Linked DNA regions of Oryctolagus cuniculus. The protein of the gene in region 1 interacts with the protein of each later gene in a biochemical or structural test. Links are inferred from orthologs where the notes say so. Each region holds a gene or a part of one and is shown on either strand. Other genes may lie near its edges.

The links. The genes of interacting proteins can lie anywhere in the genome.
Region 2: the proteins of FOXA2 (region 1) and OTX2 form a complex in vitro, tested with the Homo sapiens proteins (2 studies listed by BioGRID). The link is inferred for Oryctolagus cuniculus from reciprocal best matches to the Homo sapiens genes FOXA2 and OTX2.

Annotation. Positions count from the first base shown.
Region 1 is NC_091442.1:46,965,509-46,970,710, reverse strand, and holds FOXA2 (hepatocyte nuclear factor 3-beta), read left to right. Parts: upstream 1-1,815; 5' UTR 1,816-1,830; coding exon 1,831-1,917; intron 1,918-2,929; coding exon 2,930-4,258; 3' UTR 4,259-4,955; downstream 4,956-5,202. UniProt on the Homo sapiens protein: Transcription factor that is involved in embryonic development, establishment of tissue-specific gene expression and regulation of gene expression in differentiated tissues.
Region 2 is NC_091443.1:19,920,772-19,926,011, reverse strand, and holds the start of OTX2 (homeobox protein OTX2), read right to left. Parts: upstream 3,218-5,240; 5' UTR 3,080-3,217; intron 2,373-3,079; 5' UTR 2,233-2,372; intron 2,064-2,232; 5' UTR 1,991-2,063; intron 210-1,990; exon of another isoform or gene 73-209; intron 1-72. UniProt on the Homo sapiens protein: Transcription factor probably involved in the development of the brain and the sense organs. Can bind to the bicoid/BCD target sequence (BTS): 5'-TCTAATCCC-3'.

The sequences.
Region 1 (5,202 bases):
GGGGACCCCTCCTAGCACTACGAATGCCCACGCCAGGAATTGTCCAAACCACCCGCATTTCAGCAGCGAAGGGCGGCTGCGACTGGGGTCCAACACGACGCAGGTGTTGATGCGGCGTGGGTCTAGCAGGTGCTCCACCGCAAATGTGGCTCCCTCCTGACCTTTCCCCAGACCTTCAATTCCCATGGCTCAACTGAAAGCCTGCCTCTTCCTCTACCTTCTGCTACCATCACCCCTGCACAGGTGGGCCCAACGCCCCCCAGACTCCTCCTCCTTTTTTCTTCTCCATCTCGCAGGGGAGAGAGTCCAGGACTAGATTGCCATGGCCCACCCAGGTTTTCAGAACCAAGGAAGGGCGTCACCCGTGAGTCCCTTCCACCTCCAAAGCTGGGCTCTGAGGTCTTCGCGGGGAGCTGGCGCAGGACAGGCGACCAGGCTGAGCCCAAGTGCCCAGGGAAGACAATCCAGGCGTTTGGGTTGCTGGAGTTTCTTACAGAGCAGCCCCCCGGAATGCTGGGAGGACGGACAGAGACCCTCCGGAAGTCACTTTTGATTCCTGGACTCCAGTCTGTCCTCCCCCGCCGCCCTGTTTGTTTTAGTTACGAAACGTTGCGAGCACCTCGGTAGTGGCTGAAAAGTAACCTTGAAAGGCGCGGGCCTGAATGTCAGAGACAAATCATAGCCTCCCAACCGTCGGCTGCAGCCAGCGGGGCTGCGCCCGGCTGTCCCCACTGTGGGCGGCTGGCGGCTGAGCCCGGAGGAGGCGCGGGCCGGGGCTGCGGCCGCCGGACCATGCGCGCCCCGTGCGCCTTCCGCAGCCACCGCGGGGCTCGGCTGTGACGGTCCCGGGAGGGGCCTCCCGGAGCAGCGGCGGCAGAGTTCGAGGTGTGTACACAGGTTTTCTGAATACGACGGCGCTTTGCCCGCTGCTTGCTTTCAGCACTGAAGAACCCCGGGAAAAATAAATCCGGCTTGAATCCGGCTCTGCGGGGCGCGGCGGCCGGACGCGTGTCCTGGACACAGGCGCCGTGAGCCTGGCGCTCTGGGACGGGGCGGGGGTCCTGGGCCGGAGCCGCTCCCGAGGTTGGCCTCTTTGCGGGTCCCTCTTCCCACCGCGAGGTGGGGGTGTGTGTGGGTTGGGGGGGGGGACACCGTCCGGAGCCGGGAGGGCAGGAGGCTGGCTGGATCCGGGTGCCGGCCAGCCGGCCGGCTTGCCTGACACCCCCCTCGCCCCACGCTCGCTCTCTCCGAGTGCGGGGCGCGGAGGGGCAGGTGCGGGGCGCGCGGGCCGAGGCTCCCTCTCACCTAGGTGTGAGCTGATTATTCAAATGGGCTGCCCCGGGTCTGGGGATTGGAGGCCCGCGCCAGCGCGCCGCGCTATATCACCAGCCGCCCACGTCACTGCGGCACTTGTCCGCTCCGCGGTCCGCACCTCCTCCTCCTCCTCCTCCTCTTCCTCCTCTTCCCCCCTCCCCCACCCACCCCTGCGCTGCGCGCTTCCCGCCGCCTCGGGGCAGCTCGGCACTGCCAGCATCAGCCGCCACCCGGCAGCCCGAGAGCGGGGCGCGGGCGGCGGGCGCTCCCGACAGCCGGGCCCCGGCCTGGGCCTCCTGCGCTCCTCCGCCCCCTCCTCCCGCCCACTTCCAGCCACCGCCTCCGGCCGGCCGGCGCGAGAGGGAGTGGAGCCGAGAGCGAGCGAGCGAGCGCGAGGAGGGCGGAGGGAGGGAGGGGACGGTGCCTCGGCTGACTTTTTTTTTTTTTTTTTTAAAGAGGGTGGGGGTGGGGGGTGATCGCCGGTCGTTTGTTGTGGCTGTTAAATTTTAAACTGCCATGCACTCGGCTTCCAGTATGCTGGGAGCTGTGAAGATGGAAGGGCACGAGCCGTCCGACTGGAGTAGCTACTACGCCGAACCCGAGGTAAGCGCTCGCCTCGCCCGGGGGAGAGTGGGGCGGCGGGCGGCGCTCGCCCCGCGCCCGCCTCGGGACCGCTCCCCTCGCGGGCTCCCGCCCCCCCACCCCAGCCTTTCCGGGCGGCCGCCTTTACCTCCCTCCTTCGACTCAAATGGGTCTCTTTTTTATACGACACACTGTTAGCCTTGAGATAATATTAACTTTGTGATCAAATATTGACTTGCGGCGCCTCCAAATCCTCTTCGTGGCCGAGCCACGCACTCTCCTAACACAGTTCTGTTTGGCAGCGCGCGGCTGGGGAGGGGTGGGGAGCTGAAGAGGGGAAGGTGGTGGGCAGGAGCTGGGGGGTGAGGTGGAGGCAGCGGCAGAGCAGCGGGCGAAGGAGGCGAAAGAAAAGTTTGCGACTGCCGAGCCCGGCCGCGGGGAGTTTGTGGTGTCCCCAGCGCGCGCGGCTCCTGCGCTGTTCCTCGGGGCGATGTCCCGCTCTGCGTCCGGGCTAGGCGCTGGCTCGTGTTTCAGCTCCCCAGGGGCTGGGGAGGGGGTCGGGGAGGAGCGCCCGATGGAGGAGACCCTGGGTCAGTCTCCGCCTGGTGTCCCAAAGGTGGCTTGCCGGGGCAGGATGTGTCGTCCGGAGACCCTCAGCCGGGGCGCCGGCTCAGCATGCTGGCAGGAGAGTTTAGAAGGGGACTGCGGGCAGGGGAGGTGCATCCAGAGTGCTCGGCTTTGGGGTGCTCCGGGGATCCCCGTACGCTAGGCGCAGACAGGCTAGGAAGCTTCAGTTTCGTGCCCAGAGCAACAGCTCACCGGGCATCTCCCCAAAAAGCGATCAGAGCTCGCTCGGGGTAAAAAGGCCTCGATGTCCAAATACAGGCGTACCCCCCCAGCAGGGAAGGCCTCCCCCGGAGGAGGCGCGGGACCCGGGCCGGCTAGGGCGGCGGGGCTCGGGGAGGTGCGGGCACCCCACAGCCGCGGTGCTAACTCTGTCGCCCCCTTCTCCCTCCGCGGGCTCTGTTTGCAGGGTTACTCCTCGGTGAGCAACATGAACGCCGGCTTGGGCATGAACGGCATGAACACGTACATGAGCATGTCGGCGGCCGCCATGGGCAGCGGCTCCGGCAACATGGGTGCGGGCTCTATGAACATGTCGTCGTACGTGGGCGCGGGCATGAGCCCGTCCCTGGCGGGCATGTCCCCCGGCGCGGGCGCCATGGCGGGCATGGGCGGCTCGGCCGGGGCCGCGGGCGTGGCGGGCATGGGGCCGCACCTGAGCCCCAGCCTGAGCCCGCTCGGGGGCCAGGCGGCGGGCGCCATGGGCGGCCTGGGCCCGTACGCCAACATGAACTCCATGAGCCCCATGTATGGGCAGGCGGGCCTGAGCCGCGCGCGCGACCCCAAGACCTACCGGCGCAGCTACACGCACGCCAAGCCACCCTACTCGTACATCTCGCTCATCACCATGGCCATCCAGCAGAGCCCCAACAAGATGCTGACGCTGAGCGAGATCTATCAATGGATCATGGACCTCTTCCCCTTCTACCGGCAGAACCAGCAGCGCTGGCAAAACTCCATCCGCCACTCGCTCTCCTTCAACGACTGCTTCCTCAAGGTGCCCCGCTCGCCGGATAAGCCCGGCAAGGGCTCTTTCTGGACCCTGCACCCGGACTCGGGCAACATGTTCGAGAACGGCTGCTACCTGCGCCGCCAGAAGCGCTTCAAGTGCGAGAAGCAGCTGGCGCTCAAGGAGGCCGGAGCCCCTGGCGCTGGGGCCGGCGGCAAGAAGGCGGCGGCGGTGGGCGCGCAAGCCTCACAGGCTCAGCTCGGGGAGGTGGCCGGGCCAGCCCCGGACACCCCAGCGGGCACCGAGTCGCCTCACTCGAGCGCCTCGCCGTGCCAGGAGCACAAGCGCGTGGCGCTGGGGGAGCTGAAGGGGTCGGCGGCCGGGGCGGCGCTGAGTCCCCCGGAGCCGGCACCCTCGCCCGGGCAGCAGCAGCAGCAGCAGGCGGCCGCGGCCCACCTGTTGGGCCCGCCCCACCACCCGGGCCTGCCCCCCGAGGCTCACCTCAAGCCGGAGCACCACTACGCCTTCAACCACCCCTTCTCCATCAACAATCTCATGTCTTCGGAGCAACAGCACCACCACAGCCACCACAGCCACCACCAGTCCCACAAAATGGACCTCAAGGCCTATGAACAGGTGATGCACTATCCCGGCTACGGGTCGCCCATGCCCGGCAGCTTGGCCATGGGGCCCGTTACGAACAAAGCGGGCCTGGACGCCTCGCCCCTCGCCGCAGAGACCTCCTACTACCAGGGGGTGTATTCTCGGCCCATCATGAACTCTTCTTAAAGAAGGTGGCTTCAGGCCCGACTGGCTCAGACAAGCCTGGGACACAGACCAGAGAGAGAGAGAGAGAGAGAGAAAGAGGAGGAAGTGGCTGTGCAGACTTTAGCAGGGGGGCTTGGAGAGATGCAAGGGTGGAGAGATCCGTGACATCCCCCCCCCCAAGGCAAGCCCTTCTCTCCTGGAAAGATCACATTGAAACCTGTCGTTCTATATAGCGAGGGAAAGAGGAAGAAATATAAATTCAGAAAAAGAAAGAAAGAAAGAGAAAAGAAACAAAGGAAGAAGATAAAAGAAAGCCTCCGGTTTCACTGCTGTGTAGACTCCTGGTTTTGGAAGCACCTGCCAGTTCTGACCTTTTGTTGTCATTATCCATTGATGTTGTTGCAGGCGAGTCTTGCTTTAAAGGGGGAAAAAAAAACTTTTGTGAGTGACTCGGTGTAAAAACCATGTAGTTTTAACAGAGAACCAGCGGGTTGTACTATCGTTTTAAAAGGGGGAAAAATGTCAAGGTCTGTTGTAAATGACCAAGAAAAAAAAAAAAAAAGAAAATCATGCCCATTCTTGACATGGCGAAAATCCAGGTCTCGGGTCTGATTAATTTATGGTTTCTGCGTGCTTTATTTATGGCTTATAAATGTGTATTCTGGCCACAAGGGCCAGAGTTCCACAAATCTATATTAAAATGTTATTGCCGGTTTTATCCCTGGAATCTTTTCTTTAAGAGTTTTTGTTTGGTTGTTTTGTTTCGTTCTTCCCTTTGCCTGACTTGACACCCATAAACAGGTCTGAAATTATTTCCAGGAAGGTGGGAGACCCTGGCTGGTTGCAGGTTTTACTTGGGGCAGGGGGACCCTTATGTGTTGCTCTGTAGACAACACTTTATTATCCAAATGTTCAGACATGCTAAAATGTTACAGTAAGCACACTGGGACCCACTGCTAAGCCCC
Region 2 (5,240 bases), on another chromosome or scaffold:
AAAGCCCCTGTTCAAAAGCACAAGCCCCCTCCTCCTGCTCCCGAGACGCCGCGGCCTCTGCAGAACGCGTACCTAGGAGCGCGCGCCGAGTCCCCGTCGCCGGTGGCGCCCACACCTCCAAGGCGCGAGCGGCTGGGTCCCGGGTCCCTGGCCCGCAGCGCTGGCGCCGAGGTCCCGCTCCACTGCCCGCGCCGGGCCGCGCAGCCTTATATCTAACGGTCAATTCGTGCAATCTGTCGCCTCCCCCCTCTCCCTCCCCCCCTCGGGTGTGTATGTTTTTTTTTTTCTCCTTCCAAGAAGCCCGTCTACCAGTTGCTGTGTCCTCGCTCAATAATAATTACCTCGTCCGAGAATTAATTATAATAAATGTTTTCTTGATAAACTAACGAGATAATCCGAGGGGCACACGTCCCTTAATTACAGGCCGCCGTGCTCAGCGCCGCGGCTCGTCCGGGCTGATTAATTTCCTGCCTGACGGAGGGGCGACACCACCAGGCGGACGGGGCCACCGTGGCCTGCGGCTGGGGGGCCCGCGTGGACGCGGCGGGAGCGGGCGGCGCAGACGGCAGCGCCGCGCGCCTCTCCCGGGCCAACTCGAGGGAAAGTTTGTGGCCTGAGGGAATCGAGCGACGCTGCCCCCGCGAGGGAGGGGAAGCCGCGCGCCGGCGGGCTTGGCCTTGACTATTCGCGGAGGTTGGGAGCCAGCCCCGGGTGGCTCGGCGAGCGGAGGGAGGGCTTTCCTCGCCAGTGCCTCTCCCGTGCCTGCAACAAAGTCCCGGGGCGAGCACCAGAAACCCAGAGCCCCGCAGCTCCGGCCTGGACGGGGCAACTGCCCGGCCACCCACCCGGCAGAGCGCACTAGTCCCGCACGCCGAGGAGGGAGCCTGGGGCTCCAACGCAGGGTCCCCCCAAAAGGGACGGCCCCTCCACCCATCCGCTCCAAGACTTCGTCGGAGTTGGCGGCGCCCCCTGACCGCGGATCTTTCCCCCGCAGCCCGCGAGCAGAGGCGGCGAGGGCCTCGGCGCACCCCTCGGCCCCAGCCGGCCCCCGGCCCCACTTCGGCCTCGAGCCTGGGGAGGGAGCGGCGAGCGGGAGGATTCCCGGCCCCGGGGCGGCCTCGGGCGGAGCAGGGGCCACTCGCCGGCGCTTCCGCCCGCCCCAGGTGCGCGCCGAGGGTCGGCGCGGCTGGCCCGGGACCGGCCCGAGCTCAGCCGCCTTGAAAACCGATGCTGGCACCTCCGTTCGGCCTGGGGGCCCGGGTCTGGCACCGCGACCGCCGATGGAGTGTTGGGGGGCGGGGGGGCACTCCCAGGACTTGGGGGGGAGGGGAAGGGGATTAAAAAGGAAGGGGAGACCAGGAGGCCTTGGGAGGAGGCCGAGAACGGGGCAGCTCCGGGCCGGGCGGAGAGCACGCCCGCGCCGCCCGCCTGCCCGGTTATCCGCTCGGCTCCCCGGCTCGCGTTCTCTGCGGAGCAGGCGGGCGCCGGGGCCGCGCCGCAGGCCGGGGCCGACCGGCGAGCGAGCCGAGCCTCGGGGCGCAGCCCGCAGGGGCGCCTACCTTTTCCTCAGGATCGTTTGAATCCATTCCTCAAGCTACATCTGCATTTTTTTTTTTTTTTTTTTGTCTCGGACTCTACACACGTCCTTGGGATCAGCCGGAAACTGGGGCCCAAAACGCCCAATCGCGCGGAGACCAAAGCCGCGTGGACATAAAAACCGAATCGGGGACAAAAACCCCTGCGAAGGCCCCCACACCGGACCCGGGGGCTCCCCGGCGACCCCCGCGAACACGCTCTCTCCCTCCCCTCCCGCCTTCCTCTCCAGATGGCGAAATCTTCCCAGCGATCTAACACTTCACGAGTAACACCTCAAGACTGGTAAGGGAAAAACAAAACAAAACAAAACAACACAGCCGCATCAGCCTCAGAAGGGCTCCGCGCTGACCGAGGCGCGCCGGCCGGTCCGGCAGGTGGTGACGGACACACTTACCTCACAGCCGCATTGGAGGTTAGGGGGTGGGGGCAATCGAATTATCCTTCAAAATCCCAAGTAGCCAGCTATCCTAAAAGAAATTAATAAGAGTATTGCGTTAGAAACCGTGCAGTCTTCCCTTTCCACATACACACAAAAAAAAGTCAAACAGAAGCAAAAAAAAAAATTTTTTTAAAGAGCGGAAAATGCGGACAGTGGCCGGGGCTGGGAACACGCGTGGGCCCCCGTGCGATACGTACAAAGTGGACGTGGCGAGTGAGGGCTGCGCTGGCGATTTTTTATTTTTCATAACAGTGCAGGCTGAGTCGGAGCTGAGGCCGGTTCCGCTCTCAGGGAGATTTGCTGAGAAAGCGCCTCTCTGGCAACTTTTTGACGCAAACTATCCAACCAATGGCAGGGAGAGAATGATTGACACATCTAAGCCAGAGGGAAAATAATAAAAACACACACAACAGGGGGAGGAAAACAGGCCGCTGCTGCACGGGGGGACGAGCAGGCAACAAATCCAGGCCTCCGACATTACCAGAATGTTCTTGAAAGACACCGGGCTCCGCTTAAAACACACGTTGCGGGCCGGGGCGTGTGAACCAAGTGTATAATGAACATGACGGACAGGCAGGGCCCGCGCCTCCTTCGCCTCCGTCTTCCGTCACTCCTTCCCTCGGCCCCTGTCCTCTCTCTTGTTGTTTGAGGGGAGAGAGGAAACCCACACAACGTTAGGGCCAGAGATGAAAATGCCCACGTCGAGGCGGGAGGGGGCGGGGTGCGGCCGAGGCCGGAGCGGGCCGAGCCGGGCCGGGCCGGGCCGGGCCTGGCACCGCGGCCGCCGAGCCTCCCACGGGCTGGGGGGTTAGGAAGGGAGCCCCGAGGGAGCGCAGGGCCCGCGAGGAAGGGAGCCGCACACCCCAAGGGCAAACTGTTCTGCAAATCTCTCTCTGCTGTACGCCCTTGGTCAAGACCCCCCCTCCCCGAGTCCGGTCCCCGCGCCGGCGCCCGGGGCGCGCTGCCTTCCTCCGCAAGCGGCTGGGGAGGCGGGGTGGGAGTGGGGGGGATGGAGAAGCCCAGGGGCCGGCTCCAGACACAGACCAGGCCTGGTGGGAGTGCGAGCGTGCGCCACTCGGGCGGCGGCCCCGCACACCCAGCGTCTGCGGGCGACCTGGCGCGGCGCGGGCCTGCGGCTCCTCGGGCGGGAGTCCCGAGACTGCGAAGTGCGGGCGCCTGGGGACCCCGGCCGGAGGCAGTGGACCCCAGCCCAAGTGTTCCGCCCGGCACGGACGGCTTCCAGCGCGTTTGAGTCTCTAGAAATGCAGACGCCAACGGGGCGGAGTACTGGGGAGCTCCGGGTGGAGCTGCTGGGGCTGCGCGGGTGGGGGTGGGGTGAGCGTGGCGGGAGCCGGGGACACCTCGGTCCCCCTGCTCCCAGAGCAGGAAAAGGCGCCGCAGCCCCCTCCCCTCCCCCAGCCGCCGCCGCCACGGCGAGTGGGCCCAAGGAAACAGCTCGCTGCCTTTAATTTGGGGACCTATGTTAATGAAGTCGGTAATTAATTCGTCGCTTTGTTGTCGGTTCTTATACTGTATGTGTAATCAAATGTGGCCGTCCTTGGGATTTACAGCAATTAACGAATTACGGGAGTGCGCACGAGGCGGCGAGCTCTCGGCAGCCGGGCTGGGCTCCGGCTCCTGCGGCTCGGCCCGGGGCCGGGCCCTCGGCGGCCGCCGCCCCCCTCGCGGGTGTCTCCGAGGGCTTTGGGGGCCCCCGCGGCCTGCCGAGACCCCCGCGCGGCTCCTCCCGCTCCCGCCGCCGCTGCACCAGTCGCCAGAGAGCCGCTGGCAGTCCCGTCCCCAGGAGTCACGACTTTCTAGGGGCCGGGCTGGGGGGAGGGTGAGTACGGACCTTTGGCGATCACCCCGCCTCCACTGCACCGAAACACCTGGCGACCGCCCCTGGGGCCTTTCCTGGGTGGGGGGTGGTGGTGGCGGTGGACGAATGCCCCAGGCGGTCCGGCCTGCGGGGCGCTGGCGGTCCAGGCGCCTCTCGCGCGCGCCGCCTCTGGGTCCCCACGCTTGGGGTGAAGGAAGGGCAAGCCCACCGCGGTCCCGCGCCGCGGCTTCGCCTTTCCACCCCGAGGGAGGACCGTGTGCGCCCACCCCCACCCCGCCCCAAGTTTGATCACTCTGCGGTTTAAAGCTTCCAAGAGCGAGGAGGAAAAGTGGGTTTTGTGGGGGCTGGCGGAGGGAAAGGGTCGGAGCCAGGCCTTGGGGCCGGTGGGGGTGGGCAGGGAGGAGAAGTATCAGAACCCGCGCTGGCGAGCGCCTCGGCGTGAGTGAAAACTCCCGCACTGGGAGACCCGTGGGAGCGTGGGGTCCCGCCCGTGGAGGTGTGCGGTGTGCTCTCGAGTGGCGGGGACGGCCCGGGGCAGCGCTGGACAGAGGCAGATTTCTGCGTGTTGAGGTGCGGACCGGCCGCAGCCCGCTCCCGCCTTGCCTGTGACCTCTCTACCAACTTCGCAGACACGCGGGGCCGCAAAGCACGAGTTGGAAATGGACAGTGTTAAATAAACAAGGGTCTCTTTAAAATTCTCATCCACTTCAGATGTCTAAAGTAAGATTGTGATGATTTTGTCACGGTTTGGTAAATTTACCCCTTTAAGAGGCTTTCATAAATCCCAGAACACACCTTCAGCCAGATTTGAATATAGATTTAGCTTTTAAAACCCAGAAGCTGGAAACACCGCTTTATCAAAGAGAATTTCCCTTTAGCTTAGCAATGTGCTGAAGCTCTTAAAAGATTGGATCTGAGGGAGAGAGAGAGAGCGAGCGAGCGAGGGGAGAGAGAGAGACAGAGAGGAGAAAGAGAACTAGAGACAGAGAGATGCAGACAGGGGGGGGAAAAAGACTTTCTTTTTCTTTCTAGAGGAATTCTACCCAGACTGTGCAGCAGTTGGTAGCAGGCAAGCTCTCTCCTGGGTGTCGCCTGGAAAAGTTGCAAAATTGCTCTTCACCTGTAAGAACACGCTCTTTATCTTCCAGTCTCTTCTTGTCAATTTGGAAATTGCAGACAGCCGGGTGCAGGTACAGTTTCCACAAACCCTTCTTTAGGTCAGGACAAAAGCCACTGGCTTTGGGGGAGGGGGCTGGGCTGTTCTGCTGAGAACCTTGCGGGCTTGGTGGGAGAAAAAGACTCCTTGGATGAAAAGTCTAACTCTTGATTTCCAGTAAGTTCTTGAACTTCCAATATACTCACTAT